Linked DNA regions of Astyanax mexicanus. The protein of the gene in region 1 purifies or fractionates together with the protein of each later gene. This does not show direct contact. Links are inferred from orthologs where the notes say so. Each region holds a gene or a part of one and is shown on either strand. Other genes may lie near its edges.

Region 1 (9,886 bases):
TGCTGATGCAAGAATCTGTGCGAAGAATCATTGAAGCTGAGGAGTCTAAAATGGGTAAGAGAGCTATTTCCACACACAGGACAAAAGTATTGGAAGAAGTAGTCCTGAACCTGCTATTACAGTTACAAAGGGGTGGGGGGTGGTGTGGGGGGTATGGGGGTTAATGTAATATTCTTCATTAACAAATTACTTTTAATTTGTCTTACGTTATCAGGCCTTATCATACTCAATGCCTGGTATGGGAAGTTTGTGACCGACAACAGTAGGAGGCATGAAAGGGCGAGAGTCATAGATGTGACCGTACCTCTTCAGTGCCTGGTGAAGGACTCCAAACTCATTCTCACAGAGGCCTCAAAGGTAACATAATGTCATGCCTCAGTAAATAATTGACATCATGGTTACAATAAAAAAATATTAGATATGTAGCCTACAGGTATAGTAATTATTTTTGGTATGTGCTATACATGCCTAAGATAGCTAGTGCTGTTATCTAAGCTAAGCTAACTTAGCCCTGGCAATAGTTTGTTTACTGAAAGACTGGTTGCGTTAGTTTCTTTTATGTGAATTTCAAGTCTTTAGCACATGAAGTATTTAACAAGACTTGGACAGAGCTGAACCTCTGTCTCAAAATCATGAAGTACCTTCCTCAGTCTCTACTTGCTGTATCCATCGTTTTACATAAAACAAAACTCCTGTCAAGCTTTGTAATTGCAATTATAAACAGTTCATAAAATTCTGAAGAAGCAGTGACAAAAAAAATACTACAGTGCAGACACTGATATATACAGGTCAACTTTAGTGTTATGCACATCAAATGAGTCTCAGTCTGCTAGTAGGAGAGAGGTGGCCATGTCTGATAATGAATTCAAATATGGATGAAATTCTGTTCATAAATTTTATCCATTTATGAACACAGAGCTTTACTGTAACAATCGACATAATAATACATAAAATATTTTAGTAGACTAAATAAAATAAAAATCTTTTTTCCTATTAATATTCCTCAAAACAAAGGGAAAAAACAAAGGTACATATTACACATGTTGACAAGTTGACAGGAGCACTGTGTTTAATGTGGAAGTTTAGCAACATGTCATGTTAAGCTTAGCTCCAGCTGGTTTAGCTTTGGCATTTTCGTCATTTGTGTTACTGTTGTACCGAACTGTAATGTCCAGTATGCTATAAGAACAGAACCATGATTTCTGTGTATTGTTCCACCCCCAGCTCTAATTATATTGCTTGTATTCATGTATAACATTTTTTGAGTAGAAAATATCAAACCCAAATATTAAAATTCTGCTTCTGTTTTCCACATAATCTCAGGCTGGCTTACCAGGCTTCTACGACCCATGTGTGGGTGAGGAGAAGAGCCTAAAGGTGCTGTATCAGTTCAGAGGCGTCATGCATCAGGTCCTATCTGGTGACACAGAAGCACTCAGGATACCAAAACAATGTATGTCTACTGCTAGTCTTTTTCTGTTTGTTGTTTGTGGTTTGAATCACAATACTAATCTAAAGATACATAGCTGATGTTTTTCTTTTCTTTTTCTTCTGCATTCCAGCTCACAGGATAGATAATGACACTTAGGAACCGTTTTCTTCAGTGCTGAAAGGGACAGCTTGGACTGGCGTTGAGGACAAGCGGATTTTGTTTTCTAGGGACTTGGATATTCCCTGTGGCCTAAAAGTCATTCATATGCATATATATAGATATACCTTTGTGCAATTTTAATTGTTATACAAAAGGGCATGTTTAAAAACTGAGTCCACTGGAAGAGCGCATGAATTTGTTAACTTCAAGTTACTTGAAACACGGTGACTTGACTTGTGTCAGAAACCTGAAAGAATTTCTAAAGGATTTCTTACCTTCCATGTAATTCTGGCCTTGTTTTTTTAGTATTTAAATTCTCTCCTCCCCCTGAAAAAAATGCTCACTGTACTTGCATATGAATGAACTGTACTGGAGTGTTTCCAGGACACAACAGTGCCTGTATTCAGCCCTCGTGTGAGAGAGCTATTTCACTATACAGACATCAGAGGGTGAACATGCTGCTGCTGAACCAAATCATAGAATCACACTAAGTATCGCCACATTTGTTTATCATATTTTTCATCTTTCATATGTGAACACCAGCATACATTATTGGCGCTTTTCCACAACATGGTACCATCATACACTACTCAACTCTGCTTGACTCTACTTGCTTCTTAAAACCTGGTACCCGGTTCATTTTTTCCACTGCCTCAACTCCACCCCTTGTCGAAATGTAGCTGATGCAGCTCAGAACGACAACACAGTAACAACAGAGGCTGGTGAAGGGGTTGGGTTCCAGGTTCTCGGTTTGTGGCCTTTAGCACTCTGCAGAGTGACGATTCTTTCTGGACATAGTGTGAAATGCAAGGTTAACACATTACATTTTAGTCACTAATCGAATTGCTTCGAACCACGAGCGAGCAAGTAATAAATACCCAAATTTAGATACCTGGTGCCAAAGTTGCCTAAAGAAAAAGCAAGACAAAATGCAGTAGAGTAACACTGAGTTGAAAATAGTAGTGTATTTATGTACCTAGCAGTGGGATAGTGCCATATACAAGCTTCTTATTGTATGGTGCTGAATTACCTTATATTGAGGTAACAGCCTAAAAATCTACAATATACAACAAAACCCTCAATCATTTTTGTTTGGTTGACTCTAAAAAAAAAAAAAACATTCACCATTCCATTTCTTAAGATCCCATTCTCAATTAAAAGCACATGACTTCTTTTCTAATACTGCCTTAGGAACCTGTTACAAATTAATTTTCTGTGCAAATAAAGTAGTGATCCATAATATTAATACATGTTCATATTTACAACTTTCCTATTATTGTGTTGGGAGTCTAACCAAATCTTACACACTGTCCTTAAAGAATGCTAGAACTAATAAATAATAATGTTCAGCATTTATTTTAGCTTCTCAGCTCCTCTTCTATCTCACTGCTGAGACTCTGTAACTCCTTGACCTCCACAAATGTCCTGTTTATAAAATATTGTTGTGCCATACCACACAAATTATTTTAACTGGTTCCTGCCATCATCTCCATTCTACAACTGAATTATAATGCCTTTTGTAATTTTAGGGAATTCTGAAGGTGGTGGTTGGTGAAGGATGAACTGTTTAATTGAAAGGACTGGTTATACAGCATCTCTGTTTCCAGAAAGGGTCCCCTTTCAGAGTGACTATCATTTGTAAAGTACATGTACTCTGTATATTTGTCAGGTGGGAGGTGGAGAAAAAATAAATCTTCAAACTAAATAAAAATGTTTTTTGAATTGTGTACTTCTGTTTATCAAAGAAAGTCGATTGCATGATTTTTGGTAATATCTAGTTTTCACTATAATTATCAGTTTTTGCAAAAGTCTAGTAGTTTGGCACATTAAGCAAGTTCTGTACTTTGCACTTTTTTAAATACAAGGGAATGTCTGGGGAAATTACAACCAAAGTGAAAACTAATAATGGTTATTAGGTACATCCCTTTACATGTTGAATATTTAACATGCCAACATGTGGCCCAGAAGGATTTGTCCGCAGGTTCCATGTTAGGCCCACATATGAATGTCATTTATGGGATCTGGAGGGGCTGTACACTTCACATGTGGCCTAAATAGGACTTGTGAGACTAAAGTGGGCTGTAATGATGGGGTACATTTAGGAAGCCCAACTGGGCCCCAGTAAAAACATACACAACATATTCAAATGGCCATATTTTACCCATGTGAGGTCCACATGAATGTGTTTGCTGGGTAAAACAAATTGGAGTTGTTCACTGATGAACCACTTACCACTAAAAACATGAGTAAACTGAAGAGAACAACTGTGTGCTTCCTTGGTTTAAAGATGAAAATGGCTAATTGATTAAAATTAGCTTACAATTCTGTTAATCAAGCCCTGCTGTTCAACCTCTATAAACGTATTATACAAGTTAACCAGCTAATTAGACCAGTAGATTGGACATGACTACTTCCCCCATGATGTAATCTTATGCCTTTGCTTCATGTAACCTTAATGGTGGTAATATTATTCAGAGTAAACTTTAAGTATAATTTATTAAAACTTGCTAGAGCCAATTAACCTCTAAATAAAAGCAAATAGTAGTATTTCATTTTATTTTCATTCAATTCATTTAACTAGCCATAAACATTGGTTGTTTTAATTCCCCTTGGCGAAGCTATTGTCACTATGCATATTGCAGTCAACACATCCCATATAAATATAATTTTGCATGTATTTCCACTTAATGAGTTATTGCCCATATCTGTCTTTGGTAAAACATCTGTCTAAACCAAAATTGTAAAATGTATTAACATTACCTTATTACAAATTACAAACAGCATTTTCATTTGAAATAAATATATATTTTGCACTGCAATCTCTTTGGAGCAGCAAATATATAATTGTGATCACTGATTAAATAAATGAAAAACCTTTAAAGCAAATTGTAACATAATACATACATAATAAATTGCACATTTGGCTAATGCATTCATACATTTAAACACAATCCACTGAACAAAAAGATTCCAGTGCATTGTAATATAAAGATATAACCAAAAAAAGAGAATGGGGCTGCTTCAATTCATGTTGTTTTTATATTTTACATATTTCATTGTATTATATCTAGTGAACTTTGTTGGTTGGTGGTATGCATAATAATGTGCAAGGTCCCTAGCTTTTAAAACATTTATTTAATTATTCATTTCCAATCATTTGACAATATTATATTACTATATATATATATATATATATATATATATATATATATATATATATATATATATATATATATATATTCTTTATTTTTATCTATCTATCTATCTATCTATCTATCTAATAAAGCATCTTATTTATTTTTCATCAATTACATTTTTAATATAATTGAATGTATTTTATATTATATGCATATACATTTAAACCAATTGATTGTAACACAGCTTGTGAACTTTGTTGGTTGGTGGTATGTATAATAATGTGCAGGGTCCCTTAATACCTAACTTTTTAATTTTAAACCCAAAAAAATGTAACATTTACTGCTATCTTTAAGCTGCTAGAACCTCTTCTTATTTCCTCCCATGGATTAATAAAGCATCTTATTTATTTGCTAGCAATTATTTTTTTAATAAAATGTAATATATTATATTTTTATACTATATATCATATGTATATTCATTTTAATCAATGGTTTTGTATGACTTTTAATATAATTATATTATATATTGTATGCCTATATATTTAAATGAATTGTTTTGTAAGACTCGTGAAGTTTGTTGGTTGGTCGGTGGTATGCATAATAATGGGCGGGGTCCCACTGCTGTTGTGTGAGACGTCAGCTAGGCTCGGCTGAGTGTGAGAGAGAGAGAGAGAGAGAGAGAGAGAGAGAGAGATAGAGATAGAGAGAGAGAGAGAGAGAGAGAGAGAGAGAGAGAGTGTAAAGAGGGGGATGGGGAGAGTGTTGTTTTGTGTTGCATTCCTGCAGTGTGGGCTTGACCTTTGACCTCGCTGTTGTGTCTGTGTGTGCGCGCGCGGTGTTCTGCGGGCGGGTTTGTGCGGGTATAGCTCTGTATAGTATTTGTATTTTTATAGCGGAATGCCCGGTGCTCGTGTGCTGGCGGCGGTGCGTGGTGCTGGGGCTTGGTCGCTGTGCGCCCTGCGTTGCGTGTTTACTGGTTAGCTGCGGGGGAAACGGAGGCAGCTACAAAAGCCTGGCGCTGCTGGAAGAGAAGAAAAAGAAGAAGAAGAAGGCGGCGGCGGAACGACTGGGGGAGCTTTTGTGTTTTCGCAGGAGCCGAGTATTTGTGGCCGTCGTTTTTGCGAGCTGAGCGGGCGGGGGTACGGTTCCATCTGCGCTACAGGGCTGAGCTGTGGTGGTTCGGCTGCTGCAGAAAAGGCTCGGTCAGGGTCACTCCGCTAGTAAGTTAGCTAGCCTGCCCGCCCGCCCGTGCTGCTGCCTGCGCTAGCTCACACGTTTCATATCCGCCAGCGCTGCTGCAGCAGCCGTAGTAGTAATAGTAGTATCAGACGCATCGGCGAGAGAAGACCGAGGAAATGAAGGACAAACAGAAGAGAAAGAAGGAGCGTACGTGGGCAGAGGCCGCCCGTATGGTAATATACACACATCCACTCTCATATTATATAACAATATTGTGTTTAAATGATATTTTAAGTGATCTTTCAAAGCGATGTCTGCTCAACCACGAACTGGTGTTGCGTCGAATTGTGCTACATTGTCACAACGCGCTACTATGGTGTGTATTTATAGCTATGCTAGCTAGGTTAAATAAAATCTAACCTAAAACAGAAAAAGCATATAACCTAGCTAGGTTAGCTAACTAACTATAATTGTATAATATAAAGCGTCATACAATTTGAATTTTAAAATGATCCCAGCACAAATAACGTTATAATTGCTAGGTCATGTTAAGCAATTGAATATATTATGTTATGTTTATATACATTGAAAGAATTGTTTTGTAAGGCTTTTTAATATAAGTGAATGTATTATATGCTATATTTATATGCATTTAAATGCATTGTTTTGTGATACTTTTTTAAATGTAATTAAATATATAATATATGTATATTGTTGGTTGGTGGTGTGCATAATATTGTGCAGAGTCCCTTAAAAAACTAATTTTTAAAACATTTAATTATATCTGTCTGTCTAGCTCAGGGTTTAGATTGAGATCACATTAAAAATGTTTTTTCACGTTTTTTTTTTTTTTTTTACAAATTTAACGGTAAGCTGATACCAGCTAATAATGATATATAAGCTAATTTTGTAAAAGTTAAATGCACCCGAGAAAACAAATGGCTCTAACGTGAAAAACACACGCGAATATTTTAAATTCCCAGCCGCGCATGCGCAGAACGGCTAAGCAGCACAATTCGACGGGTAGCACAGCTCGACGCAACACCGGACAAAGCTAGCTTGAGCTTTAGCTAGCTCAAGCTAACTAATAACCTATGTTGGGTGAACGTTACTGCGGGCGCTCGGGCTGTTCCCGCAGAGGGAGTGCTCTCACGCCGCAGCGTGTTAAACATATAACCCGGCCTAGTTCTATATAATCCACAGCTCCGGGATGATAAGAAACTGGTGTTTAAAAGGTGAAAATGTGACCATTTAAACTAAACAGATCCCAGCTTTTCTTAAGGCTTACAAATGAATGAAAAACAGCACAACTTGTAGCGTAGCTTAGCTTAGTCGTGTTAGCCCCGCTACGCGTTTGACCCTTTGTTTGCGAGACTTGTATCATATAGCTAGCTAAACAGCTAACAGACGTTAGCTAGCTTCATAGATATGCTAAAAGAGCGTATTTAGTTAGATAGCTACACAGTTAATGGTAATTGTCTGTAAGTAGTCTTTCATTAACCGTATTACAGTCTGTTTAGTGGAAATATAGCCTAACGTAGCCTGTGTTTGCAGGCCGTGTGTTTCCACATGCTGTTGTAGCTGCGCAGTGTGTGTGTGTGTGTGTGTGTGTGTGTGTGTTTTCTAGCCCTAGCCTAACCCTGTGTGTGTGTGTGTGTGTTCAGGCAAGGGAAAAAAATAAGCAATACATTGCTCAATCCAGGCATGTGTAAAACGCGTGCTGTCAGTTACAAGCCATACAGTCGTGGCACTTTCACTGAAAAGCCTAAAGCACAATACCCTGCTCTCCTTACCCACACTCTCATTTATGATCTTCAGCCTTTCAGGCACCTGCTTGTGTTTTAAAAAATATATATTTTACTACTTCTTATACTATAAAGCTTGGTGTGTGTGTGTGTGTGTATAAATAAAATTAAATGAAACACATGTCCTTTAAGAAGTAAAGGCGATAATATAAGATAATGTCAGAATCGCTTTATTTCGGGTCAGTGTGTTGTTTATTAATTGAACTTTCTGACCGTTATAGGCTAAATGCAATTTAATTTAATTTAATTTGCTTTATGTAGAGCAACGTACAAGAAAATGTTTATAATTTCTTACAATTGTAATTCCAGATGATAACATTTGGATTTTACAATTTGCTCACTTGCACTACGCTTATTTGCACAGCTGTACAGACATTCTTCTCCAGTCAGTGCAGTTCAGTGAAGTTCGGAGACTCAGGTGTCCACTGTGGTTGAGAAGTGCTACAGCTCTGGTAAAGAAGCTGTTAGCGTGTTGTGCTGTGCTGGTTTTTGATGGTCTAAAGCCTGTTGCCAGAGGGGAGAGTCTGGAAGAGGTGATGTCTAAAATGTAATATGGCATAAGAAATTCTGTATTCTGTGAACCCTGTTACATTACATTACATTAAATTTGGCAGACGTTTTTATCCAAAGCAACTTTCAAATAATGATGTTCATTAGCATTAGAGGAGATAGAAATTCAAGGCAAAAACATCTCCCAGTATTACCCTTTGGCCTAATAGAGGCCAAAGGGTAATACTGGGAGAGAGCAGGAAAGAAAGGGGAGAAAATAAGGTTAGAAGTAGTAGTTAGAGGTGTTTTTTTCAAAGATAGTAAGGGACGCTCCTGCTCTTTCACCAATGGGGAACTATGTAGGAGAACAGTCAGGATTGCTTTGTGTTACACTGCCCAACTGTCACAAATAGATCCGTCATGATGAGATTTTTTTTTTTGGACAATATATTGTTCCAGAAATTGTGATGCACGATATTTTTCTAATTTTAAGACTATTCAATTCCACTGACATAATGATAACAGAATAGCATAAAAAGCAATTGTACACTTTTTAAATACAACAAAATGTGAATTAATCATTTATTATAATTAGTTTGGAAATTATATACTTATTTCTCCCCTACTTTACTCCACATTGTGTGTATGGAGTCAGTGTCTAAAATACTGTTCACGGTTGTATATGTGTAAACGAACATGCAAATAAACACAATAAACGATATCGCGATTATGAAAAACGTTCAGATCATTTTTATTTATTGTACGATAAATCGATATTGAAGTTATCATGACAGGCCTAGTCACAAACCCTAGAGATTTCAGCATCATTGCAATGTATCCACGTGCAATAGCTTTGTGTATATCTCAGGGTGTCCAATGTCAATTAATTTTAATCCAATACACCTAGAGCTGCACAATGTATCTATATTTTATTAAATCGTGATAAATGTTCTTATATTGACGATAAGTATATTGAAGAAATTATCTCAGCAGTACCTAAAGAACACTGATTCAACTGTGCATTTTATTACAGAGAGTGTAAAATCCTGTTTATATTTTTTTGCTGCGCATCTTCCAAATATACAATTCAATATCCCTTACATGCATGGAAAAAGCATTTGAATAGTGTGTCAAAATTATTGTGAAAATGTCTTGAAATATTGTGTTTAAAAACACATCACCCAGTTGTATCAGAGTGTGATTATGTACACCAAAGGTGCTAGGACTATAGGACAATTTATACTGTTTTAGTTTCCTGTGACAACTTATTTTCCTCCATTTTTGGATACACGGTGTAATATTAACAACATGGCATGTTGGGTTGTTGACTTCTGCTTAATGTCCCTGTATTGTTTAATATATGTAATGTATATTGCAGAACAACAAAACATTGCAATATTTGTTTTGTCTTGCATACAAAAACATCAGTGGCAGCAAACTCTTAACTGTTAAAATACTCTATTTATTTTTTTGTACATTGATTTGATTTATATTTAGGATGTGCTACAAATACTCAAATTAAACATGACTTTTATTATACTACCTGTATTGAAATGTTTCTCTGTATCTGATCAGCATGCTCAGATAAGCATGTTTTATATCACAATGACAAAATTGGTCACAGAATGCAAAAAAATATTTCTGTATTGCTCACTTTTAGGTCAGAGCCGCTACAAGACTGCTCT
Region 2 (9,978 bases), on another chromosome or scaffold:
GGTTTGAGTAGGCCTCAGCAAGCATGGGGTTCTGCTTGATGGCCAGAGTGCTGAAGTGCGCTGACCTGCACACCACAACAGGGTAAAAAACACTCAGAAAAGTACTAAAACTAGTAGGGCTGGGTATCGTTTTTAGATTTCTGATACCAATATGATACAAGCAATGAGCAATAACACAAAACATTTTTTACTGAGCTTTGATACCCAGCCCTAATATTATTTATATCACAAAGTGAATGAAAGTTTAATAGATTGATCAACTCAATATGTTAACAGCTCTGGAAAAAAAATAAGAGACCAGTTTAAAATGATTGAGTTTCTGCGATTTTACCAAAACCTCTGGAATATAATCAAGAGGAAGATGGATGATCACAAACCATCAAACCACCAAACTGAACTGCTTGAATCTTTACACCAGGAGTAAAGCAGCATAAAGTTATCCAAAAGCAGTGTGTAAGACTGGTGGAGGAGAACATGATGCCAAGATGCATGATTAAAACCTGTGATTAAAAACCAGGGTTATTCCACCAAATATTGATTATTTCTGAACTCTTAAAACTTTATGAATATGAACTTGTTTCTTTGCATTATTTGAGGTCTGAAAGCTCTGCATCTTTTTTGTTATTTCAGTCATTTCTCATTTTCTGTAAATAAATGCTCTAAATGAGAATATTTTTATTTGGAATTTGGGAGAAATGTTGTCTGTAGTTTATAGAATAAAACAACAATGTTCATTTTACTCAAATATAAACCTATAAATAGCGAAATCAGAGAAACTGGTTCAGAAACTGAAGTGATCTCTTTATTATTTCCAGAGCTTTTAAGATTTAATTTTGAACATATTAACCTGAATAAAATAAAGATTCAAAAACACAAGACAGTATTAAACCACCACCCGTAGCAAAATGACACAGCCCTGACAGAGAAAGACCAGAAAATCCAAAAGAAGAGCCAGAACCATCTCCCTGGACCTAGTCCACACATCCCCACCAAGAAGAATGAGCCAGGCCCTCTGTGCTTCAGGTAGGTCATTAAAACGGCACAAAGCCTCTCTGAACCACCTCACCTGTCTAGCCGGCGGCACTGGAAGTGGATGGAAGAGAGCAGCAGTAGGACACCAGTATTGTCGGGCTCCTGTCTCCACAGCTGCATACAGTGACGTTCTGCTGCTTCAAAATCGCCGGACTGATACTCGCGGTGTGCAAGCTCGGCCAACCCTTGGAAGGAAAGCATATGTTTTGTTGGTTCTGTGGCCACCAACACAACCCGAAGGAGGAGGGGGGAAAACAACACGTTAGAATAAATGGAAATGAAGCAAAATAATCAAACAATGACAAGAACAAAGATGATGACTTAGTAAATGTATCTTTAACATGCAGACTAAAAACACAAAGGCTTTAGGCCTTAAAACAAACACTGAAAAAAAGTTTATCTTGTACTTTGATAAACCGATCAATCAATGTGAAAAAGGGCACTAAAAAAAAAAAAAGAGAGAACCTCATTCACATAGAGACAAACAGTAAAGTGGAAATGTAGGGGAATTTAAAAGGATGAGTCCAGCCTAATTTTATTGATGTAATTGGTGTTATATACATTATATACAATTAATCACATGATGTGACCACTAAATAAATATTTTTGGGCAATATCTTTGCTTAAATGCAGAACTCATCCTTTAAATAATTAAAAAAAAAAGAAAAGCACAGATGCTGAGAAAGAAGTATGAGAAGGAACATGAATAGACAAAATGGTGACGCCAAATAAAATGATGCATTTACTAAGTACTAAGTAAACTGATTAAATGTGATGTGCAAGCAGTCAATGGGCAAGCATTCAAACAATGAAGAAAAAAAACAAATGTGTGAAAACAAATAGAGATGCAAAGAGATAAACAGTTAAACACTGCTAAATATTGCAGCTGCACGTGTTCACGTCTAACGCTTTTATGTCTAAAGTGTCTTACAGTCTTTTCAATGTTTATGAAAGTTAATAAATATGCTTACTTTCAGATGAATTGCCAATAATTCCTGCACAGTCAAACAAACCTTTTGTTCACCTTTATTTCACCATCAGAACTGAGAAAAATTAATGATATCTATATATGCATATATATATTTAAATCAACATAAACAGTACATGACAATCTGGCTTATCTATTTACAGCTTTTTCTATCTTTTCTTTTTCTTTTCATTATCTACATCGGTTCAGGGATTAGGTGAGTCAACAAACAAAGCAAACTCTCCTGAGACTTTCTATTTATAATCAGATCTTTCTTTAGCACTTCAGCACCCCACCCTGTAAGACAGGCTCCTGCTTGGTTGGATTTAATCGGTTAGAGTTTCCACATTTTTCCAAATGCCTACTTGGTAAATACATGACTAAGATGTTACAGTTTACTAAAGGGGTGCGTCATTTTAATTGCTTTTTTAAAATGGACAAATATCTTTCGCTAGCTGCTTTTAAAATCTGTAAGCCTTTTTTTATCTCTAGTTCTTGTCAGAAACTGAATTATGATAATTTGACTGAATGATCTAAGATTTTTAAGCAAAATGTAATTCGACAAACCTTGTGAATTAGGGTGTAGCAACAGATTTAAACAATAAATAATGAAGAGTTAGAACAGGTTATTAACAATTTAAACTGTATAACAGGTATAATATTACAGTCTCACATTTCAAATCACGACAATCAACAATCAAACTATGCGTCTCTGAGATAAGAGAGAGTTATGTTATTTGTGTGCAAATCTACAGGTTTCTGATATTTTTCCCTACTAATAAATTTGCAGTAGTTGTAATTTATGTTATTTGTTAAGACAGTGTGATTTAATGACGCAGTACAACACTGCTTTCTAGAGGTCAGAGATTAAACAACACAAAATGAACCACTTCTGACACCAATTTTTCCATGTAAACTAGTAAACTAAAAAGCCAATATTACAATACCAAACAAAAGCATTATTTTCTTACATCTACAATGGACGACAAACCCAACAATTTTGTTTACCCCATTTCACCCAACCCACTGACTAAGCAGGCATATAAACAAATACAATATTAGAAAAAACAAATTAGCAAAACAAATTAATTATAATCAGCTAGCTAAATTAGCTTATTATCTGGTTAATTTGTTGGCCAAAACTAAATTAAAATCTATTTGACTTAAAACTCAGAAATATGGCTCTATGTGAGTGCTGAAAGGTCCAGTATACAGCATTAGATTTTAGATTTGAGTTTATGTATCTATAAATTTCAGAATTGATTGTTCTAAAATACTGGGAACTGTTTCTTTTTTTTTCTTAGATTGTTTTGAAAATTATTTTAGGAGCAGGATTGGGCAAATTACAAGAAAAAAATAACCAATGTATGAATTAGGCAGTTACAATATTTCAAGTTTATAAAAAAAAAAACAAATATTCTGGTTATCAGGTTTTAAACTCCATAACTCAGACATTAAGCTGAATAAATGTGAAGCACATTAACGCTATAAATGCATTTATAGATGGTTTTGTACCTACAATCTTATTTTAACAAAGCAGTGAGGACATTAGTTAGATAAACAAATATCTAAAGATGTATTATGCTGTTTTACATTAGTATTTGAGTGCTGTGGGTGTGTAACTGTGTTAAATATTGTTAAACTGTGTTAAATGTCCTCTCAGGCCTGTAGTGAATGCAGTCACGTTTACCTGTGCTGTCGGCCACGTTTCCCACTGAGCTCGCCATCTCTCCCGTCTTCGAGTCTCGCCGAGGGGTCGTCAGGGTGCCAAAACAAACACGAAACCACCGATTAAAAAAACAATAGTGCCGTTAGCTAATCAATAACACGCACACACAGACTGTGCGAGTCCGCGGATCCAGATTAAATAATCTGTTAAAATGCTGATAAAGAGTCTGAGAGGATCCCGAATCTGAGGAGAAACCGCCAGCTAACGAGACAAGCTAACCGAGCTAATCGCGCGTATTTCACTGTATTTAGCTGTCTTTACCCCTCCGCTTAAAACGTCTGTTACTCCTTCCCTATCGCTACTGTACCAAAAATGCAAACCTACAAATATTTCGGTTCGAATTAGTCAAAATGAGTCAAAAATACTCAATTAAGAGTATTTCCACCATCGCACTGACTCCGCTAACAAAGCATCTACCGAAATGGCGGAATATGGGCGGGACTTCTTTTTTGATATAAAAAATTAGACCTCCCTCTCCCTCTCTGACTCATTTAACGTGTGTTCAGAATAAGTATCAGAGATATTGTTCGCGACATTAAAGTAAATTTTTATTTGTTATATTCATCCCAAAAAATGCAGCGTATGAGTTGTTGTTTCGCTCTTTATAAACGTATTATCTTCACTACGGCGGAAGAACACTAGCCTCCCGCTAAAAGATAGAGATACACGGCTTTCTTCTGTGTATCAATGCGCCAACCACTGCGGCAATTCGGGACTGTTCCATTAGCAGAGACAGAGGGGGGGGGGGGGGGGGGGGTGGGCGGGGTGTTTTTATTATAATAAAAGCCGAGTTTTACTACAAAAACTTGCTAAAATGTGAAATATGAAATATAATAAGTCTAAAGATATTTTAATATTATAATAAATGTAAGTGTGCAATTAACGTACAGTGAAAAACAGGGACCATGTTTGGATTCAACCATTCACTCTCATTGGTTGAGCTACTGGTAGCTATAAATATCAGAATGCAGGATAAATGGTATTATCACTGTATTATAATAATATTACATTACCAGGCTATTTATGTGTATATAAGTAATATATAAGTAAATATATATAATATATATGTGTAAATTAACATTGTTGTTTTATTCTATAAACTATGGAAAACAATTCTTCCAAATTCTAAATATAAATATTGTCATTAAGAGCATTTATAAATAACAAAAAAGATGCAGAGCTTTCAGACCTCAAATAATGCAAAGAAAACAAGTTCATATTCATAAAGTTTTAAGAGTTCAGAAATCAATATTTGGTGGAATAATCCTGGTTTTTAATCACAGTTTTTAAAAACTCCAGTGTTAATGACCTCTGGCAGATGACCAAAAGATCAATGGATCAGTGGGTGTTATGTAATATTTAACATTTCTAATGTGTGTTTAGTAAATGGTTTATCAGTAAAATGCCAAGTCTACATGATTACGTCACCTAAAACATATAAGCTCATTGTTTTATTCAGACTGTTGTACAAAGTCATAAAGGTACAGATAGGTGTGTTTACGTTTAAAGAAACCTTTCAAAATAAAAGTCTGGCTTTTATTATGAAAATAATTCAGCAAATCAAAACCCCAATAAAGCTTAATTGATCTCTGACCCAATACTAGTAATTAACTAAGAATTCATAATATATCGAAATTACCGTGTTTACATCGTAATTTCACAGCAATGTTTTATAAAATAATTATGTCATATAAATAAAGCCATTTTTCTGCTACAATAATACAATTCCACTATAAGGTTTTCCATATTATTTAAAATCCAGTCTAGTAGTTTATGTTGGTGTTTAATAGCGGATGTATCTTAAATGCTGACATTTCATGCTTGAAAATTTAAGCTGTATTTTGTAAAAGCAAATTTATTTTATTCACAGTGTTTTTCTGCTGATTTGCCATCAGTCTAAAGTTAGAGTAAGGCAGACGAAATAACTCACATGGATAATACAATTAAAGGAATCAGTGTTTACATCAGTTTTGTACTTTTTTTTGTACTACTAATTCACAAGTAATTAACACAACAAAAATGACATGAGTGGTGTGTAAAAACATATATCAGAATACAATACAGATTATATTATTTTCAGAAATACAAATAATAAATTGAATACCCACATATACTGCTTGCAAACATTTTAAACAGAAATACCATCAAACTAATTTGCTAGTTTTAATAATTTTCACCAATAATAATGCTGTAGGTAAGACCATGGGGATTCATCTTTTCATAATAAAAACGAACAAAATTAAAGATTCACTATCTTACATAAAAATAAAGATTTTCTGAAATAGTCTAGTTCTGGAGCTGTGAATATTAATAGCTGCTGAATTGTGTGTGTATCTGAAGCCTGATTAGAACACACACTGTTGGAGCACTAAACATTACACTGGAGTCTTACTGCCGCAGGCCTGCAGAGGGCAAAAGAGGAAAAGGAACCAGATCTGTTTTTATTTCTGCACACAAAAAAACATGTAGTTCTCAATTACAGCTCAAAAACCTGTATTCTCTGCATATTCTTGTGTTTTTACTTCTATTACACATCTAACCCATCTTATTTAGGATTTGAAACTTAGCTCTGAAGGGTATTAGCTATGACAAAATAGGGATAATGAAAAAATATGCAGTGCATGAGGTATCTACTCTGTTATAATAATAATAATAGAAGTTTATAAGTGTTTAACACAGTTAAATTGTTGTAAAACATAGTCTCTGTCTGTCTTACTTGTTTATCATAATCATTTTCATTGTTTATTCAGAGTTTATAATGATAGAAAGTTCTAGATTTACCATCATTTACTAATAATAAAACCTGTAAAAAAAACATGTAGATTAAACAGTGATTTTGTACAGCCAATGAAATGATTATTGGTTCTTATGATAATAAGAAATCAAATCAAGCTGAACTGCTTGAATTGTTGCACCAGAAGTAAAGGCATAACATTATCCAAAAGCAGTTTGTAAGACTGGTGGAGGAGAACATGATGCCAAGATGTAATTTTTTTTTTTTTTTGCATTATAATTGCCTGTAAATGAGAATATTTTTATTTGCAATTTGGGAGAAATGTTGTCTGTAGTTTGTAGAATAAAAGAGCAATGTTCATTTTACTCAAATATAAACCTATTAACAGCAAAATCAGATAAACTGACCATTTTGAAATGCACTCATAACCGGTGGTGTCTGGCTAGAATTGTAATTGAACATTCAATGCAGGGACCCCACATTCACATCCTTATGTATTTTCTTTTACTGGCCTCTTCGGTATAAATCATCAATAAAGTGTAAAATGACCATCAGACTAAACACTCTCTCCATCCAACAGCTTACTTACATTTCCTAAATGTTGTCAGAAGAATTGTGAAAATGAGATTCACCAGTGTGCTCACTAATGAATGATGACACTGATGGTCACAGATGAAGGAAACGAGAGTGGGGACCAATGTTGTGTTCTCCCTCCCCATCCCATCGCAATTCACACAGCTTCACACACACACACACACACACACACACACACACACTCTTTACACACACACACACACAGTCACACAATACACACACACATATAGGCACAGATACAAGGAAAGCAAACATGCCACGAACCAGTTCACCCCCGTGTCTTGCCCCAGCCTCTTGGGCTGATTGACACGTCAAAAGAGCCCCTGAAGGCTGGGGTCTGTGATGTGAGAGTCTCATTAACTTCCCGTTTTCTCCCTCTTTTCTCCTAGAGCCCGAGTGCAGCTCTGTTTGCCTCTTGTCAGCTCTGTATGGGAAAGGGTTGACATCATCGGCCCGGATGGTGCGACAGTGTGTGCCCGGTTCATGTTGCTTCAGTGTGGGAGCTCGGCCTGGATACCCCCTCCTGCCCACTGCGCCACTCGGACGTTGGCTTGGGAAAGAGCCGGCTCTGGGGGAGTGATGTCATGCGCCGTGTCTTTGGCGATCGCATCTGACATGCTTTATCTTTGTGCAGGGCCGCTTCTGACCGGGCTCGGGCGTACACCTCTGCTTTGTTGAGACGGTGCCAGCGTCTGTTTTCACCGCCGAGGCTCTTTCACACGGTTATTTTGGGCGGCACGTGAACCGCTGAGGGCCGAGGGCCGAGAGTCTCGTTTCTAAATGTAGGCGGCGGCCTGTGCAGAGATGGCCAAGCTTTTGGGCACGCTGCTAAGAAATTAATGGAGCAGATTGTTCACTAATTTCGTCACATTTCCTTCTGTTTTAATTGTCTAATCTGTGGTCTGAGGTCTGAAGGAGTGACCCACATATTTCAGGTCGGATCAGCTCACAGCAGCTACCAAACAATCACCATGTTTATTTCTGCACTGGACACATACAATTCATATTCACAAAGAACATTTAAGAGTTCAGAAATCAGTATTTGGTGGAATAACCCTGGTGGTTTTTAATCACAATTTTTTTCATGCATCTTGGCATCATGTTCTCCTCCACCAGTCTTACACACTGCTTTTGGATAACTTTATGCTGCTTTACTCCTGGTGCAAAGATTCAAGCAGTTCAGACCCTGTTTATTTCAGCGCTGGACACATTTCGTCGCCTCGCGCCCGTTCGCTCCAGCTGGAGTGGTGTATATATGTTGTGGGTTCGGAGGGGGATGTTTGCACAGTCATGGTGACGGCTGTGTGCACAGTGTAAATGCGCGCTATTGAGATTGAGCAGTTCTCACACTCCTGACTCTTATAAGTGTCCATGAATCACCCAGAACGGAGGGTCTGCTTGCTCTCGCTTTATTTGCGCACATCACTTTCACTCTCTCACGCTGATGCAGGAGGTAAAGAAAGTGTGATACCATTTCCTCCTCCGTCTGTGCGCCAATAAATATATCAGAACCAGGCTTTATTGGCCAGTTCTGAAAACAAAGGAATTTGACTTCAGTAACAAAGTTGCTCATATCATATTAGGCATTTGTAGAAAAAAAATATATTTAAAGTCCTTAATGCAACGAAAATTATATATGTTATTTGTGTTTTACTAAAAAAAACTTGAAAAAATGTGTTCTTGCTTGCTGCTTATTTCTGTCTTGTTTACATGACAAGCAATCAGATCCTGAGTCATCCTCAGTTGGCCGTTATCATCCAGCACCACACAGCCATATAATTCAGCTACAGCCAGACGAATCCCACATCCTGACCTGACCTCTCCCATAATGTGTACATTCATAATGCTGTGCTGATGAAAACAGTTAACGATGGAGGAGAAAGAGAGAGAGAAAGAGAGAGAGAGAGAAACTGTAGTGAGTTTCAGCTGGGAACGGTTAAATATCAGGTGTCGGGTGTTTGATTCACACCTGCGGCCTCTACTTAATGCAGCGTGCGGCTGAGGGGAGTGATGCACTGCTTTTATAGCCGTGAATTCTGCGGTTAGATGTTGTTTGCCCAGACAACGCAAGAATGTGGAAAAATGCACCTTTTAAAATGTAGGAGAGCTTTTGTTTGAAGTCTGAGGTTTTTTATTGCTTTGGACGGGAACCTGCGCTGAGTTTCCTGTAGATCCGTGGCTCATAGTTTGTAATGCGGCCTTGCCGTAAGCTATTACTCAAACATCCAAACTTCAAGGCCTCCAGATTCCCAGGGTGGGCTCGTCTGACTCACAAATATGTGTATCTTAACTAATCACATGTGTTTTCCTAACAGTCTAATGGTTCTGTTATGGAGCCAAAATTCTGCTCATTATTACGTCAGTTTCAGCTTTTCTGTGGATGTAGAAGATCTGAGAGTCACAGGCAGTGCTATCACAGTACCATCACAGTGCTATCATAGTCCTATCACAGTGCTATCACAGTACTTTCACAGTAATATCACAGTGCTATCACAGTATTATCACAGTACTATCACAGTACTATCACAGTGCTATCACAGTACTATCACAGTAATATCACAGTACTATCACAGTACTATCACAGTACTATCACAGTATTATCACAGTACTATCACAGTACTATCACAGTACTATCACAGTATTATCACAGTACTATCACAGTACTATCACAGTGCTATCACAGTACTATCACAGTGGTATCACAGTCCTTTCACAGTGCTATCACAGTACTATCACAGTAATATCACAGTACTATCACAGTATTATCACAGTACTATCACAGTATTATCACAGTGCTATCACAGTGCTATCACAGTACTATCACAGTAATATCACAGTACTATCACAGTATTATCACAGTACTATCACAGTATTATCACAGTGCTATCACAGTACTATCACAGTACTATCACAGTAATATCA

Evidence for each region. Proteins that work in one complex are often made in the same cells at the same time.
Region 2: the proteins of asxl1 (region 1) and ogt.1 purify together in Homo sapiens (affinity purification with mass spectrometry; 3 studies listed by BioGRID and IntAct, with this or other methods). This does not show direct contact. The link is inferred for Astyanax mexicanus from reciprocal best matches to the Homo sapiens genes ASXL1 and OGT.

Annotation. Positions count from the first base shown.
Region 1 is NC_064420.1:39,534,418-39,544,303, reverse strand, and holds the start of asxl1 (putative Polycomb group protein ASXL1), read left to right. Parts: upstream 1-5,462; 5' UTR 5,463-6,083; coding exon 6,084-6,140; intron 6,141-9,886. Other genes in the region: dnajc11a (dnaJ homolog subfamily C member 11a), read left to right, coding at 1-54, 215-357, 1,324-1,453, 1,563-1,588.
Region 2 is NC_064417.1:382,357-392,334, reverse strand, and holds the start of ogt.1 (UDP-N-acetylglucosamine--peptide N-acetylglucosaminyltransferase 110 kDa subunit), read right to left. Parts: upstream 4,164-9,978; 5' UTR 3,727-4,163; coding exon 3,690-3,726; intron 1,248-3,689; coding exon 1,067-1,247; intron 66-1,066; coding exon 1-65. UniProt on the Homo sapiens protein: Catalyzes the transfer of a single N-acetylglucosamine from UDP-GlcNAc to a serine or threonine residue in cytoplasmic and nuclear proteins resulting in their modification with a beta-linked N-acetylglucosamine (O-GlcNAc).